Nothobranchius furzeri: one gene and its partner. The protein of the gene in region 2 binds, or shares a complex with, the protein of the main gene of each other region. Links are inferred from orthologs where the notes say so. Each region holds a gene or a part of one and is shown on either strand. Other genes may lie near its edges. The genes, in order: tcf25 and ribosome quality control complex subunit NEMF.

Region 1 (8,069 bases), on a different chromosome or scaffold from region 2:
AGGTAAAGAAACATAATTACTTCACTGTGTTAAATAAGAAAAAAGAAGATAATTATGATTCAACACACAGAACAAATATACAGAAGAGTTTTTATTACAAAACCTGAAAGCTATTGAAGAAAATCACTTATTTTTTATGAAAATCTTTATATATATATATATATATATATATATATATATCAGATTGTATGAAATATGATAAAAACAGTTATGTCTCACTGGTCTAGTTTCTAACACCATTGGTATTTGGTTTTGAGTATTTAAATTTACTTAGAAGATGTTGATAAAAATTAGCATCAATATCAGCCAAAGATATTCCATTTTAACATATCGGTATCAATCCGATAAAGACAACTGGGCCGATATTAACATTGTATCCTCCCCCCCTCCCTTTCTGTGTCATAGGGTAAGGGTGGTGATGTGTACTAGTTTGGTCATGTGACAGTGATTGTCATAATAATGTAAATTCAGCATTAATAGTATTCATTCTATACAAAATCTTCAGATTTTAGAAGCATCAATGTCAATATATCAGCATTGGCAAATATCGGTTATCAGCCATAACAGTGATATTAATATCAGGTATCAGCCCAAAAATGTCATTATCGGTGCATCACTAATAAGATCATTTAATTGTTTATCAAAATCTTAATAAAACAGATTAGATTGTATGAAATATGTTAAAAACTGTTGTGTCTCGTTGGTCTAGCCTAGTAACACTATTGGCAATTGATTTAGTCATTCAATCTATGAAGCTGAAAGTTTTCATTTTTTTTAAATCCATTTTCAAATGACTAGAAATTTGTTGATGGTCTTTAAGTAAACCACCGCTTTCATGAACGAGTCCTCGGAACACAGCTGACTGTCGTCTCTGGCACAGCATCAAAACCCATCACTGACCGTGGTGAACCTCTGACGAATATCCAACGTACATCTAACTTCACTGTGACAAAATAGTTCCTCTTATTTCTGTGCAAATGATGTCCATTTTTGGTTGGAATTCGAACCGCTTGAAACAAGAGATCAGTCACCGGGCTGATGCTTAACCAACAGTCTTCCCCGTCCCAAGTCAAGATGGGTGAGTCCATGAATGTTAAGCGACGATGTGACGTAGATCTGTCAGGCTTTTCAAATCCTAGAGCTTCACCGTCCATTTTCTATCAGAAGCTAATGCAAGAGATAGTCTTATTCATTAATACTCGCTTGCTTCTGATTGGCGAGCAGTAACGTGACTTTTCTTCTGCTCTTGTTCGCCTTTTTTTTTGTTTATTAAATTCAATGCTGAAATGTTATCTCCACGAATTACATCAGCCAGAACATCTTCTGCCATGAAGTTGCCAACGGTTAGCTTCTACTAGCTCAGACGCAGTTGCAAACCAAGGTGGGTGAGGCCATGAATGCCAATTATCCCTGTGACTTTCTGAATCGATTGTTTTTCATCTATTTTCTTTCTGCAGTTAAAGCGGGCCACGGGGGTTGAAAATAAATGTTCACATTCAGCATACAGTAGGACGCAAAAGTTAGGGCAGCCTTTATGTTCTATTGTGTAAATCGTTGGTTGTTACAAAGAAAATGTATAGCACAATCGGCCAATTGTAAGTTTCCCTCCTCTCTGAATATTCTCTAGAGTAGCATGGGGGTCTCAAAACAACTCTCACATGAGCTGAAAACAAAGATTGTTCACAAACATGGTTTAAGGCAAGGTTACAGAAAGCTGTCTCAGAGATTTCAGCTGTCTGTTCCAGTTTGGAACATACTGAGGAAATGGAAGACCACAGGCTCAGTTCAAGTTAAGGCTCCAAGTGGCAGACCAAGAAAAATCTCAGATAAACAGAAGTGAAGAATGGTGAGAACAGCCAGAGTCAACCCACAGACCAGCACCAATCACCTACAACATCATCTTGCTGCAGATGGAGCCACTGTGCATTGTTCAACTACTCAGTGCACTTTACACAAGAAGATGCTGTATGCGAGAGTGATACAGCGGAAGCCTTTTCTCCACCCACAGCGCCAACAAAGCTGCTTGAGGTATGCTGAAGCACATTTGTGCAAGCCAGCTTTACGTTGGAATAAGGTGCTGCGGACTGATGAAACTAAAACTGAGTTATTTGGGCAGAACAAGGAGTGTTATGCATGGAGGAACAAGAACACAGCATTCCAGGAAAAAAAACACCTGCTACCTACAGTAAAACATGGCGGTGGTTTCATCATGCTGTGGGGCTATGCGGCCAGTGCAGGGCCTGGGAATCTTGTTAAAGTTGAGAGACGCATGGATTCCACTCAATATCAGCAGATTCTGGAGACCAATGTCCAGGAATCAGAGCCAAAGCTGAAGCTGCACCGGGGCGGGATCTTTCAACAAGACAACAACCCTAAACACTGCTCAGAATCTGATGAGGCATTCATGAAGGGGAACAAGTACAACGCTCTGGAATGGCCATCTCAGTCCCCAGAACTGAATATTATTGAAAATCTGTGAAGCCATCAAACCTGAATGAACTAAGGATGTTTTGTAGAGAAGTATGGTCCAAAATACTTTCAACCAGAGTCCAGACTCTCATTGGAAGCTACAGGAAGTGCTTAGAGGCTGTTATTCCTGCAACAGATGGATCAACTAAATGCTGAGTTAATTTCTTTTTTATGCACCTGTCTAATTTTGTTTCAACAATTATTGCACAATTTCTGTTAATCCTATAAACTTTGTTTCACTTCTCAAATATCACTGTGTGTGTTTCTCCTATATGACATATTTAACAGCAACAATATTTAACAACCAACAATTTATAAAAGAAAATCATGAAGATTAACAAGGCTGCCCAAACCTTCGCATCCCACTGTACTTGTGTAACTCTGAGGGACAGATCGTATTTCTCAGTAAACAAGAAATTTAAACTAAGAATTTCAGACAGTTAAACAATTTAGGTTTCAGACTTAACAGCAGCATTTATGATCAAATTATGGTCGGATAATAAAAATGAAAAAACTGTCTCTGTGGTTGAAATAAAATTACAGTTAACTGTAGATAAAAAACAGAAAAGTCCACGGTGTAAATCAACTGTTTGTGCACCACAGTTAACAACTGTCTTCATTGGAAGCCTGTTTAAAAGCCTCCAACACACACTAACCACAACATTTTCATCCAGATAGTTTTGATATAGTACAGCCAATAAATGTTTTCAATATCCGTCTATTTCTAAAAGTACAAACGTTTAACCCTCCCACTGTCCTAATGGGTGTGACCCCATGAGGAAAGTTGACCATTGAGCAGGGTTGATGGTTTATCCCTTGAGGTCCACGTGGCAGGGGTGACATGTGGCAGGGGTGACATGTGGCAGGGGTGAGGAGCACCACCTCAATGGTAAACTTTCCTCGCGGGGTCACACCCATTAGGACAGTGGGAGGGTTAAACAACACACAGCTCTACCAGTTGATGGTTTCTGTTGTCAGATTGAAGCTGTACTGTTTTGTCCAGTATTCTGAACTAAATGTGTCTAAACATGACTAAAAACAGCTTATGACTTAGCTGAGAGGAGAAATGACGTTTTTGCTTCAGTCAAACTGATTGAACCCATCCGGGTTCAAACTATATATCTGAATCCATTTTTTCCTCCATCGAATCAAAATTACTTGTTTTCAAATGATATTAGACTAAATTAATCTTTAAATACAGGTTGATCCACAGAAAGATGTGTACAGTTATCATTATCACCTGTTAGATTTTCTCTTGATGTCACTGTTTTAGTCGACGAGGATTAAGAGCAAAACCATCGGGTTTTAAAGGGGAAAAACTGAGAAAACGGTTATTTTCTTTATTATTTCTACATTAAAAAATCTGCTAAAACTCCACATTCAATAATTTTCCTTCCAATTTTTATGTGTAAAATAAACCCACCGACTTGATTCCTACAAGATGACCCATTAAAAACAAGGCTAAAAACTTTATATGCCTCCTTGGATACTTTTAAGTTGTTGTCCCTCGAGGGAAAGCATGAGCCCTTCGGAGGAAATGTTCCATCAGTCAAGGACATGTTTGTTAAGGGATTTTCTCAGATGCTGCCAAAAGGCCCCGCAGGGTGCAGTGACTGAACACTTTTTTGGAGGTAAACTTTAAATAAGAAATTAAGAGACCACTGAGCTGCACACATGATGAAGAGGATGGTCTGCTCTGCTGCACATATGCATAAACAAAACTCAATGATGCACATAAACCAATTAATCAGAAAACTAAGAAGCACGTGTTCTGATTAGTCTTGTATAGGTGTAGGTCCTGCTCGGCAATCTGAGGTCAGATCAGGAAGCTAAGCCTCTCCTTTGAGTCAAACGCTTCAGGAAATGTACAGTAAAACCCTCAAGTTGCAGGAAATCTCAGCACCAAATGGAGGTTTTAGGACTGAATCGCTTAAAATCCCTTAGAGCAGTAAGTTCATTCTGAATGCAGTGATCAAACTCGGCACGATGTAACAAAATTTGTTACTAAACAAACGGCTTGTGTCTGTAGGGCTTACAGCTGCTGATCACATGGAGTCTTCACATGCACGGCATGGGTTCTTAATTAGTGCTTTCAGTTATTCAATGTCTATGCGGCCATCTTCAAATACAACAGCATGGAAGAGTCCAAACGTAACCCGTTTACTGGTTTTAACCAATGGTTTGAACTCACTTTTAGGTTGTTTTTATTTAAATGTGTATTTTTTTCTTTGATTCACTTAAACCACAATCAGCAAACCTGTTACATTGCGAACCCACACTAATCTAATTTTCTCAACTCACCTGAAGGTTGAAGTTCGGAAGTAAAGAACGGAAAAACAGTGACAGTGTGCTTTCATTGGATGCTCCAACATGCTGCCTGGATAAGACATAAAAACACAGAGAAACTGTTTTCAAAGTACTTTAAAAGCAGACAATTAAAAGGCATGTTAGTGCTGTAAAAAGTGGATTTTATTGGTATTCCCATTACCTCTCTGGTCTGGTGTATGAGATCACCGAGTCCAGAGGAGGAAGGAGATCAAACCCCATCACAGGCTGAGCGGTCACGTCCTGAAAGAGATACAACCAAACATTTGACATCACTTGCAAACGAGGCATCTTGACTAGTAAATATGAGTTAATTTGACAAAAATAATAAAATGAATAAATAATTAATAAAGAAAACATCTTTGAAAAGTGCAAAAAGAGAAGATCTGCATAACTCGGCTTAACACATTCCCTAAAGATCTCATTTGGAATCTGCTATGATTGTGTTCTTTGATAAAACCATTACATTCAGACTTGACTAAGTAATCTCACTTCTGAGGTGTAAACATGTTTCTGCTAGACCATCTTCAAAGAGCTCACAACGGGGCAGCACATTTTCTGACAAACACAGACACCCATATCGCTCCTGTGCTTTTTACTGGGTTTGGTTTAAGATTTTGCCTTTTGTTGTCACACCCCTTTACAAGCTGACTGCCTATCTTTCAGAATTGCTCACATTTAACACCCCCCCCCGGTACCTTGTTATCTTTGTTGTTGTTTACTAGTATTCTGCACGTCACAAATTATAAGTGTAACAGAATGAAATGACTGTTTTCCCCCTCCTCTGACACAGGACTAGTCTGCATGAGATATGGTCTCAAGGTCTCATGCATTGGCTTCTAATCCGCTTCTTTTGAGCTCAACAGAAGAATGAAGAATAGACTCTTTTCTTTTAATTAATCAAAGAACTCTATTTTAATAAGCTAATCAAGCAAAGTGTTACCCCAAAATTCCACTATCTCCGCTCCGCCCCCGCTTTCCGCTGCCGCTCGCTTCCGAACTCAAATTATACTGTACCCGCTCTACAACGGCTCCGCTCCGGTGCGGAGACCTGAGGTGCGCAAACAGGCATGCGCGGGATTTTCGAGATCTTGTGATACAGTCCGAGCAATAAATGCGGAAGTCAGATCCAAACACCCGTTGTGTGGGAGAAGCATCGAAATGAACTGTTTAATCTGCCCATCATTTGTGTTGAGAGATCAGCAGTGTTTGGATCAACAAAGTGTGACTATTTTGATAGTGGAAACTGTATTTATGGCTTATTTTTGTGCATTTAAAGTTCAACCGCCATTGATAGTTGTTAAAAGTTGTTAAACCTGTGCATATGAAACAAAAAAACGCTTTTTGTTATCGATTTATTGTGAAATAGCGGAAGCTGTACTTGCTTGCTCCCTTTCCTGTTGGGCGGTTGTGATCAGATAGAATCGATCCTATTTTTGCCGGATGGAGGAACGGCAGGCGGCGCATTGCGCCACACGGCCGCAGTAGTGGAACAGCACTGATTGACTACAACGGGACCGTTTTTGCTGCGGAGTTCGTGCCGGAGCGAGCGGAGATAGTGGAATTTTGGGGTAAGTCAATAAATAAGATGTGACCGATCTGTGAAATCAAAATATTAATTTCCACCTATTTTCAAAAATACCATAACAGCACAAAAACAGAGCATGTGCTGGTGATGTCTTACAAGGGGCAGGGTGGAGGTGGCCTCTTTGATCTCAGAGAGGAGGACGTGGCGATGGATGTTTCTCGGTGCGCTCTGGTACCTCTGTTTTCTCCTGCAACAAAGGAATGGACCTTGAGAGTCGTCGCTCTATGTGGAGAAGTTCTAGTTACAGCAAAGGTGTATAAAGTGGAGATTATACTTGTTTTCGCATTCTTCCACAAAGGAGTCTTTGGAGTCAACTCTACGCAGCACCTCCTTGACAGACTCCTCTAACCAGAGCATTATGGCTGCCTCCTTCCACAGAGCGTACGTTCTCCCTACGTACAGCGCTGTCAGTTCAGCCAGAGCCGGCGGCTGCCTGGAGACAAACGGGGGGAGGGGGTGAACTTTACACCGGTGCAGACAGAGAAAACATTACGAAACAACAAAAAAAGTGAAACAAATCTAAAACTACTAAAATAAGTCATGAAATTATTATCTGTTGTTTTATATTAGATTTGTTATGGTTATGCAGTGTAAAAAGCAAAATTACAGTGTGCTGAACATATTAACAGTTGAGGAAAAGGAGGCTCACCCTATCTGACTCTTTGGGCCAAAGAAGCAGTGGGAGGTGACGGTGGCATCTGGCTGCACCGTGCACAGATCCAGTAAAGGCATCAAGACTGAAGGAAGCACATTAAAAGATGAATAAGGTCCAGAATTAAAATACCTGTAAAGAAACAACTAACCACTGAGGGTCAGGTCTAACCTCCAGGGAACATAATAAGAGCACTCTGGAGCATCTGGTCAGCTAGTTTTTTCTGATTTTCAGCTTCTTTAGGATCCAAATCCTCCTGCTGGCTGAGGTGGAAACGACAAAGTGCACAGGAGAACGCAAAGTTCGGCAGCTGAGAGAGATTTCTGTGCTCCTGAAAAGTGACAAGAAATCATTTCTGCGTCAGATTAGAGGGGTAACAGTGAAACGGGACATTAACTGCTGCATGGCTTACCTCCCAGTCCTGATATAACTGAAGGAGAGACTTGTACTCTCTGGAGCGCAGCATTAGGAAATCAACCAGGAGGAGCATGCAAAGGGGGTCCAAGTCTGGATCCAAACTGTCTCACACACACACACACACACACACACACACACACACACACACACACACACACACACACGCACACACGCACACACACACACACACACAAAGAAAGTAAGAGTATATATATATATAAATATACGTCCAACGAGACGGATAACGCAAGCTTGTGATTGGTCAGGACACCACTGCCACCTCAAAGACAAAGAAAGCTGAAGATATCTAGCAGCAGACGCAGAGAAGCTTGAAGAATACCTCGTGAAAAAACTCTAAATATATTAACGTTTTATTCACCCGTGACTTGAGGAGTGAAAAGATACACAGCAAGCGTTTTATTCGTGGACGGAAACGATGGGAAAGGTGGGTTTAGAGGTGGCGAGTGCATGAAGAGGTGGTGGAGGAGGAGGGACAACATTGTATGTGTTAAAAAGGCTCTTAAAACACAAAAAACACAATATAAACACAATAATAAACACACTATCTTGGACCGGACACATGACAGGGTACCACAGAACAGTGCTATGCCCTGTTGT
Region 2 (8,509 bases):
TTTTCTTGTGACGTAGAGGAGAGCGGCTTTTTCTGATGTGACCGTTTTCCCATCTACCTCATTTCTGCTAATGCAGATGATGGCAGCAGACGAGATTTTTCACATTCAGCGTGTATATGTAACTCAGACTGAGTAATCAGATTTCAAAAAGAACATGTATTATATGAGTCCTTTAGAGGGACAGTTTCCCCACCTGCCCGGAGGTAGCGTTTAACAATCATCTCGTTCTGCTGCTGATCCCTTCCTGCGATGACGAGATAGTTCTCGGAGCTGATGAACCACAGGAACTTCTCAAACCTGTCAGACGGGAGGACAAGATGACCGCAGACAGTCTGGAGCCACAAACGCTTCAATTAAACTTGGAACGGACTCAGGATCCTTTGGCGAGGGCCTTACCAGTACACCTTTCTGGCTTTCTGAATAGTGGTGACGGTCTGGACCTCCTTCAGTGTCTGATGTGTTTTTTTCTCAGCTGATTTCATAGCCTTAGATGAAAAATAAAACATTAATTCTAAATCAATGCATGACAAATTATTTGTTATACATAAAGTAAAATAGCTTGTCCACCTTGTCTGCTGCCTCAATGGTTTTCTGTTCCTTTTTTTCTGCAGTGCGTTTGTGGTCATAGTACCTAAAAGCAACACGACGACAGACTGTCATCTGTAGGCTTTCTATGTGTTTGTGCATCTAAAACTTTAAATGCAAACCCACTTTTTAGCGTTGGCATAAGCTGACAAGCCCAGATCCAAATCCACCAACATGGGCTTGTTCCTCTGCAGCTTCCTGCTCTGCCCTTTCTCTTTAGTCTTGTTTTTCTTCCCTTTCTCATCGATGGAACCTTTTTTCTCTTCCTCTTCGTGGTCCTCCTCAGAAATGTATGGATTTCTGCACACAGAGCGGCGTCGATTATTACCACCGGGATTCTCCGGCAGGTTTATCACCTGGACGGTGATCTCACGTTAAAAGCATGGTGATGTGGTTGGTCTGCAGCTTCAGCTCCTTGATGACGCAGGCCACGGGGTCCCCAGCAGCTTGTGCTTCCTTAACAATAGTGCCGATTTCAGTCCAGTCCACCTGGTTGGCTAACGCGCTGCACACCACCTGCAGAGCCCTCTCCACCACAGGCAGATTCATCTCCACCAGCTCCCCTTTTATTCTGTCCACCTCCTGCAAACACAGAGAATAAAGCTTTTAATTCTGCAACAGATCAGGTGAATCTGAAATGAAAATCTGCTTGCTGCCGACCTGTGATTGGTGCAACGCCTCCAGCCTCTGCTCGTGGTCCCTCTTAACATTCTCCAGCTTCTTCAGTGCATGTTTCTCCTGCTGCAAGGCCTTCATGTCAATCTTCTGGCTCTCCATCTTTGAAAAGAACTCATCCACTGCCTGTTTAAAAATATTTTTAAACCATTATTCTTGCCAACAGGTTTTCTTTAGATGCATAAGCAACAGCTGTGCTAATATTCACCTTGTTAAAGTTTTCAAACTCCATATAGGGGCTCTTTGCATGCTGAGAGAAGAGAAACGGGTGGAATTCATCGTATCTGCAGGAAGACATTAACGAGAAAATTAATAACCTCGTTAGGAACAATCAGCTGGAGGATTGTCCTTTGCCCAGGGATACCAGGCAGTTTTTAGCACCCTCTAGTGTTCTGTTAATGAAAGCAAAAGTGAAGCTTATCTCTTTGCTGTTGCGTTTGTCTTTTTAACACCCTAATCTAACAGCTGAAATGTCTCCTCAGCCTTCATCAGTGTCTACAGGAGTGATTCATCACTAAATTAAACAAATCCGCTGTGTTCATGATCTAAAACATGCAGGAAACGCGCTGGAAGCAGACTGCAGCGCCACTCTCAAGTTGCAAGTGCGATATTCTGGACACAGAGGGCGGCGGGGTCTGGGTGACATTTCATTAACCTTGTAAAGCATCATTTTAGTACATACTGGCTCAAGAATATGAATTTGCATAGTATGCCTTTAACGAGACGTACGTCAGGAGATCTTCACCGGGTTTGCCCGGAGTCAAACTTGGTTTCTTCTCACTCTTCTGGATGATGTAACCCTTAAAATAAATAACATTTAAAGTATAGTAAAAAAAATTACAGTTTACTTCAATACTTATAAAAGATGTTTTACTGACTTTGCCGCTGAATCTTTCCGTTATTTCCATGTAGGTTTCTGCCATCTGCAAGGCTTTCAGGATTTCACAGGCAACTGAGGAGAAAAAAACAAAGGTCCTGTTAGTGCATTCATGTTAAAAGAATAAAATATTAATAATAATAAAATCGACGTCCATATTTTACCTTCAGCAACATCAGCTTGGCTGTCGACTTTGAGCGAACCCGGCAGTCCTGCTTCTATAAGACTGTGTTCGATCAGAGTGGCTCCGTAAGCTGAACGGGTTTATGAGAAGTTTAATGATTAAAAAATGAATAAATAAACTGAAAATCATCATTAGGCTTTCTTGAAGCAACGTGTTAAGAATTAATAAGAAAATGCTTATTTGGACAAGAAACAGGCTTTTTATTTGGAGTTAAAAACGAGGAGGAATTTAGAACAATTTCTTTGAACCAGACTTGTGAATTTAGATCAATCTTATTTAATGATATTTTGAAACAATTCTGTGATCTTGTCTGTATTTGCTGCCATGACTTCTCTCTGAAAACACAGTTTGATGCATGTTTTGTCCTAAGAAACAGTAAAATCTCTGTGGCTTTGGTTCCCAAACACACTCGAGCAGCCATGTTTTACCGCTAGGATCAGATTTTTCTGTTGCAAAGTGTAATATCTGATCTCATTTATAAAACGTTGCATGTCTAAGCTGAGAAAACTTAGTAAAAATTAAGATCCAGACTATTTTTTTCCAAACCCGAGACTAACTTACATGATGTGAATCATACATTTTAGTAACTTTAGAGCAGTTTCCGTAACTTCCCGTTATAACTGGACTCTCCCTCTCTCTTATCCATCAGGATTGCACATCATGGATTAATGCTTTAAGAGCTTCCCAGTCCAGTGAAAATGGCTGTGATTGAAGAATGACCTACAATAAATAATCTCTCTGTTTTTACAGGAATGAAGATTTCTAAAATCTACAATATTATCTGTTCAAATAAACAATCACAGTGTTTGTGTGTCCAGCGACTTACGCAGATGAGGGTTCAGGACTCGTTTCACTTGCTCTCCATTTGGTGCTTTGCTCAGGATGTCAGTGAGTCTTTAAAGAGAACAATAACACTATGTTTGTGCTGCAGACTAATGTAATAAAGGCTAACTGAACACTGATGTATGTCCTCTCTATCTATATCAAATAAATGGTTTACTTCTCAAGACTGATGAGGGGCTCCGGTGGTCTGGCGCTCTCCACTGGGTACCTCTCCCTCACGGCAATCTTAACATCTTCTGCTTCTGCGGTTCGGAACCTCAACAGATTCAGGATTGTGTACTCGTGATCTGCAAGGATGATGTTACCCTGAAAGTAAAGATGAGGAAACAAAACATAAATGTGTATTAATCAGGATAAATGTGACCTGGAACAGTTCCAAATGCATTGGATGATGTTTTCTGACCCTGTCGTAAAGTTCAATGATCAAGTGGTAGGCAGCCTCATCCGAACCAAACTGGATGTCCACGATTCTGTCGATCCCAAGCTGCTTAACCTGGGTAAGCCGGCGGGTCTTTAGATGTTTTCTGCACTGTGGATAAAAATCAAGTTAAGTGCTATCAAAACATATAAATATTCACAGAGCAATCAGCATTTTTGAAGCAGGGTATAATAATGAAAAAACATCACGATCTTTAACAATTACATGGATCTTCTTACTTTCATAGCAAAGCCTGAAGGCATCATGTTCTTGGGCCATTCAAAGTCTGTGGAGTGGATGCGAGTGCCAGACTCAATCAGGAGAACAGCTTTGCTGTCCGGTCTGAAACAGAAACACAACTGTAACACATACAAGTGAAGGTCTGTGTAAAATAATAATAATTATTATTATTATTCATCCTAGTCTGGGAGAAGACAGACTTCATTCACATACTTTACTTTTCATCATACACGTTACAGAATCTTCTGTATATGTGACAACTAACAGTAACATTTCTGTGTAGTTTTGTTGTTTCCAGCTAAAAAAAAAACTCCCATTATTCCCCGTTTAAAACCGATAAATTCAAGATCTAACTTTATTAACAAAGTGATTTATTTACATGTATACGTCAAAACAGTGATCTATTCTAGCAGTAATCATTGAATCACTTAAATCTTTATGCTTCTAATATTACGCATGTATGTTTCTATTAGCAAGAGCTTTATGACTTAAGCTAGCATAAATAGTAGCACTCAGAACCTTATGTTCTTACTTCTGCAGACGGATGAGATACGTCTTAGTGTCGATGTCATACACGTTGTTTACCCTCATGCCAATGTAACTGTGAAATGAGGAGGTGAAATAAATGAATGTGAATAAAAATAGACAGTAACATTTAGTGGGCTAATGCTAGCTTAGCCTAACAACACATACTTGGCATTGATTTCGGCAATAACTGCCCGGATATCCACCGTGGTGAATCGGGTTTTCATGGTGAATCAAATCCAGAATAATGGTGATTTAAAAACAACCCCTTCGTGTATACTTCACATCCCAAGAGCAACAAGAAAATTAATACATTCAGCAACACTGAAAGTGCACACGTTCTGCTTTCTTACGGAAGCCGGTTGGGGTCAAAATAGAGAAGGTCCACGCCTTTTGCATAGACTGGCAGCCGCTTTGAGATGCTCTTGTGTCTGGTAACGGAACCGTAATATTATGAATGTAGAGAATCTGCTGTTTCTCTCCTGCGAGAATTGCCTTTTTTAAGCCATTAAACGCATGGTCAGCTCTTTCACAATTAATGTGCACCAATGCTGCACTACTCAAACTGGCTTATTGACGTTAAGAATAGAGCAAGCTTAAGAAATGCAAGCAAAACGAGCTCTAGCACAGACTGGAATAATAGGGGAAATGCTGCGGGAATGCAGAACAAAAACCCGCAGCCAAAAGAGAAAACGGCGCACCTCTGGAAAAAAGGTAAGGATGGAGTTTTTTTTTTTTTTGTCTTTTTTTCGGGGCCTGATTGTTGAATAAATCGGCTTGACTGGTCGTTGTCAAAAAATTGGGGCTTATTATATGTTTATATTCTGATATTTTTTTAATCGAAGGGCCAGGCTGAGGTTGGTTCAGTCTGAGTTCCTCCTCAGGTCAGAGTGGAGGGCGAAGGCGTGCACCGTTACCAAGGCGACGGTCAGCTGGGGCTAGGCTAGCACCAACAAGAGGGACTTCTGTGCCCTCGTTGCGTGGAAATGTTTCATTTTCTAGCTTATAATTAGCATGTACCACAAAGATACCTTTGGTCGTGATAATCAACCAAAATGCGGCGGCAAAATCCTAAAAGAATGAAAAGTAAGTGAGGAAAAAAGGTTTTATAGAGGGTTTCTCTACATGTGTGCTTGCTAGCAGCTATTGTTTTAACCTCTGGGGCTCATCAGAGGAACAACCATACACACACCTACACAATAAAATAGATGAAAATATCACTGGAATCATTGTTAAAAAAAATTACCTTTGCTTGTGGTGAAATTGCTGAAAGTAAGATAAATTAGATACACAATTTACCTAATCTGTCTTTCCTGTAAAATGAAAACATTAAAATAAAATCTGACAGGTAAAATCAGAAAAGTAACTTAAAAAAATAAAGAAGTATTAGACGTTCAAACCAAACATCTAGTAGCTAGAACAAAAATAGGAGTTTTTTATTATTATTTTTGATAGCTGTTTAGAAATTTTAAAATGACCCCAAATCTTTATTTAAAAACAAAACAAAATCCTAATGTCCAGATAGGAGTTTGCAGTTTCTGAAGCAAAAACGTTTCTCACATATTTATTTATTATTATTATTGATTACATTTAATGAATGTGTTGTGAGCTGCTGATGCATCCATCCATCCATCTTCTGAACCCGCTTGTCCGCGGGGGGGGGGGGGGGGTCTGGTGCCTATCTCCAGCGGTCAATGGGCAATCAGGTGGGGTACACCCTGGACAGGTTGCCAGTCCATCACAGGGCAACACAGAGACACACAGGACAAACAATCATGCACACACACATTCACACCTAGGGACAACTTAGACAGACCAATCAACCTAACAGTCATGTTTTTGGACTGTGGGAGGAAGCCAGAGTACCAGGAGAGAACCCACGCATGCACAGGGAGAACGTGCAAACTCCATGCAGAAGGATCCCAGGCCGGGAAGTGAACCCAGGAACCTTCTTGCTGCAAGGCAACAGCTCTAACCACTGCGCCACCGCGCAGCCCCAGCTGCTGATGCAATTATCATTAATTATTCCATTGTGTTTTTGTTGTTGCAGGTTACAAAGTAATTAAGAAAATTGGAGAGGGTACGTTTTCAGAGGTGCTGAAGACCCAGAGCCTGAAGGATGGGAAGTTTTATGCATGCAAAACTATGAAACAGAGAATTAACAGGTATGTTTGTCCCACATTGTGGTGCCATTTCCTATTCATTTCCAATAATTCTCTGTCATATATTGACTTGAAGTATATTAAATGTAAAACTTGCTTTGTTACAATTTGTCTGATGAACTAAAAGTTTGTCTTTTGTTGTTAACAATGTGTGTTAAAACTTTGCAACCATTTATTGTGGAATAGCACACCTTTCAGTTTTCTCATTCTGCTGTAACTTGTGTGAAGCAAATATGACTAAGCACAATCCCATTTTGTTCTTCTAGTCTGGAACAGGCCAACAACCTGCGTGAGGTCCAGGCGATGAGACGACTGAGTCCTCATGCAAACATCATCCAACTCCATGACCTGATTTTGTGAGCACTGCATTGTTTCTCATGCATTCTGACATCTTAAACTTGTTTGTATTTTAATAACCCAACAATGTTTCAGTGACAAAGAAAGCGGAACAGTGTCTTTAATATGCGAGCTGATGGAGATGAACATCTATGAGCACATTCAAGGTGAGAAAAGTGAAACTTGAAGATGTTGTTTATGTTTTGGGTTAAAAACAGCATGTAATGATGTTTGCAGGAAGACAAACACCCCTGCATGACCAGACAGTCAAAAACTACATGTACCAACTGTTAAAAGCGCTGGAACACATGCACAGCTGTGGGATCTTCCACAGAGACGTGAAACCTGAAAACATTCTCATAAAAGTGAGACAGATCAGTGCTGAACTCTGCTTTCTGAGCCGTGTGAGGACGTTCAAATGCTCAACACGAACCTTTCTGATGTTACAGCACAACATTCTGAAGCTGGGTGATTTTGGCTCCTGTCGCAGCGTGTACTCCAAGCCACCACACACAGAGTACATTTCCACACGATGGTACAGAGCCCCGGAGTGCCTCCTCACAGACGGATACTACAGCCTGAAGATGGACATCTGGAGCGCCGGTTGTGTCTTTTTTGAAATCATGAGGTGGGTTTAACTTTTGGTTCTGATCAAAGTCAGAATTTATTAAGGCATATTGGCAAGAATCTGGCATTATGATATATATCACAATACAATATGTTGTGATACTAAAAACTAGATATTTGCTATATTTAAGACTGAATTTAATTGGGAAACTCTGGCCAGATGCTTCCAACACACCCAGTGTGGCAACATAGGCTCGGAGGTTAGTTCGCCCTGTAACCGATGGGTTATGGCGGCATTTCAGTGAATCAATATTTTCGTACATGGACTTGTCGCTGGCCTTTGCATTCTCTAGGATGTAAACAAGTATGTTCCTGAAACTGTGTAAGTAGTTCTGCTGTGGCTGCTGGCGTTTCAGCTTGAATCCTCTCTTCCCTGGAACAAACGAGTTGGACCAGGTTGCCAAGATCCACCAAGTGTTGGGGACACCGGATCAAAGTGTTCTAAAAAAGTTCAAGCAGTAAGTGCTTCTCCTCAAACCGATGCGCGCCAATTATTTCAAAATGTGAATGTTTTGGTGTTTCCATGTCTGGCAGGTCTAGAGCCATGCATTTTAACTTCCCCCCGAAGAAAGGCACCGGCATCTCCTGGTTACTCCCAAACTGCCCAGCTCCGGCTCTGTCGCTGCTGTATCAGACGCTTGCCTATGACCCCGATGAGCGCATCGCCGCAGAAACAGCACTGAGGCACACGTACTTTAGGGAAATCAGGTGAAGCCCTCAACTGTCAAACCACTTTTAAATTTAAATATGCGTCATCTTCATGACCAACCCTTTCTCTTTTCAGAATGGCAGAGAAAAAAGCCGAGCCTCTTCACAGACTCCTAGAGCCCTTTGATGGAGTTGGGGGTCCTGTGATTCAAGCCCCCTTGACACAAATCTATCGGCCGAGCAGATTCGTTAAACACCTGAGGGGAAGGCACATCAGACAGACACCTTTAATGAGTGTGAGTGTCGCTAGGAGACAGAAGACGAGATGCTGCAGATGCATTTAATCAGTTTTGTCTTTTCAGCACAACTCCAAACATGTAGCGGATTCC

What was found.
Region 1: ribosome quality control complex subunit NEMF (region 2) and tcf25 share a complex: the UniProt entries of both Homo sapiens proteins name them as parts of the ribosome quality control complex. The link is inferred for Nothobranchius furzeri from reciprocal best matches to the Homo sapiens genes NEMF and TCF25.

What each region holds. Positions count from the first base shown.
Region 1 is NC_091749.1:57,575,655-57,583,723, forward strand, and holds part of tcf25 (ribosome quality control complex subunit TCF25), read right to left. Parts: intron 7,553-8,069; coding exon 7,447-7,552; intron 7,366-7,446; coding exon 7,206-7,365; intron 7,120-7,205; coding exon 7,032-7,119; intron 6,816-7,031; coding exon 6,657-6,815; intron 6,570-6,656; coding exon 6,479-6,569; intron 5,038-6,478; coding exon 4,958-5,037; intron 4,847-4,957; coding exon 4,771-4,846; intron 1-4,770. UniProt on the Homo sapiens protein: Component of the ribosome quality control complex (RQC), a ribosome-associated complex that mediates ubiquitination and extraction of incompletely synthesized nascent chains for proteasomal degradation.
Region 2 is NC_091758.1:27,046,557-27,055,065, forward strand, and holds the start of ribosome quality control complex subunit NEMF, read right to left. Parts: upstream 4,707-8,509; 5' UTR 4,575-4,706; coding exon 4,516-4,574; intron 4,424-4,515; coding exon 4,355-4,423; coding exon of another isoform or gene 4,342-4,354; intron 3,925-4,341; coding exon 3,822-3,924; intron 3,694-3,821; coding exon 3,568-3,693; intron 3,471-3,567; coding exon 3,322-3,470; intron 3,216-3,321; coding exon 3,148-3,215; intron 2,392-3,147; coding exon 2,302-2,391; intron 2,213-2,301; coding exon 2,139-2,212; intron 2,061-2,138; coding exon 1,990-2,060; intron 1,545-1,989; coding exon 1,469-1,544; intron 1,387-1,468; coding exon 1,246-1,386; intron 1,168-1,245; coding exon 959-1,167; intron 886-958; coding exon 712-885; intron 632-711; coding exon 568-631; intron 486-567; coding exon 397-485; intron 298-396; coding exon 194-297; intron 1-193. Other genes in the region: MAPK/MAK/MRK overlapping kinase, read left to right, coding at 4,896-5,061, 6,398-6,512, 6,776-6,865, 6,942-7,012, 7,083-7,210, 7,295-7,473, 7,829-7,930, 8,007-8,180 and 2 more. UniProt on the Homo sapiens protein: Key component of the ribosome quality control complex (RQC), a ribosome-associated complex that mediates the extraction of incompletely synthesized nascent chains from stalled ribosomes as well as their ubiquitin-mediated proteasomal degradation.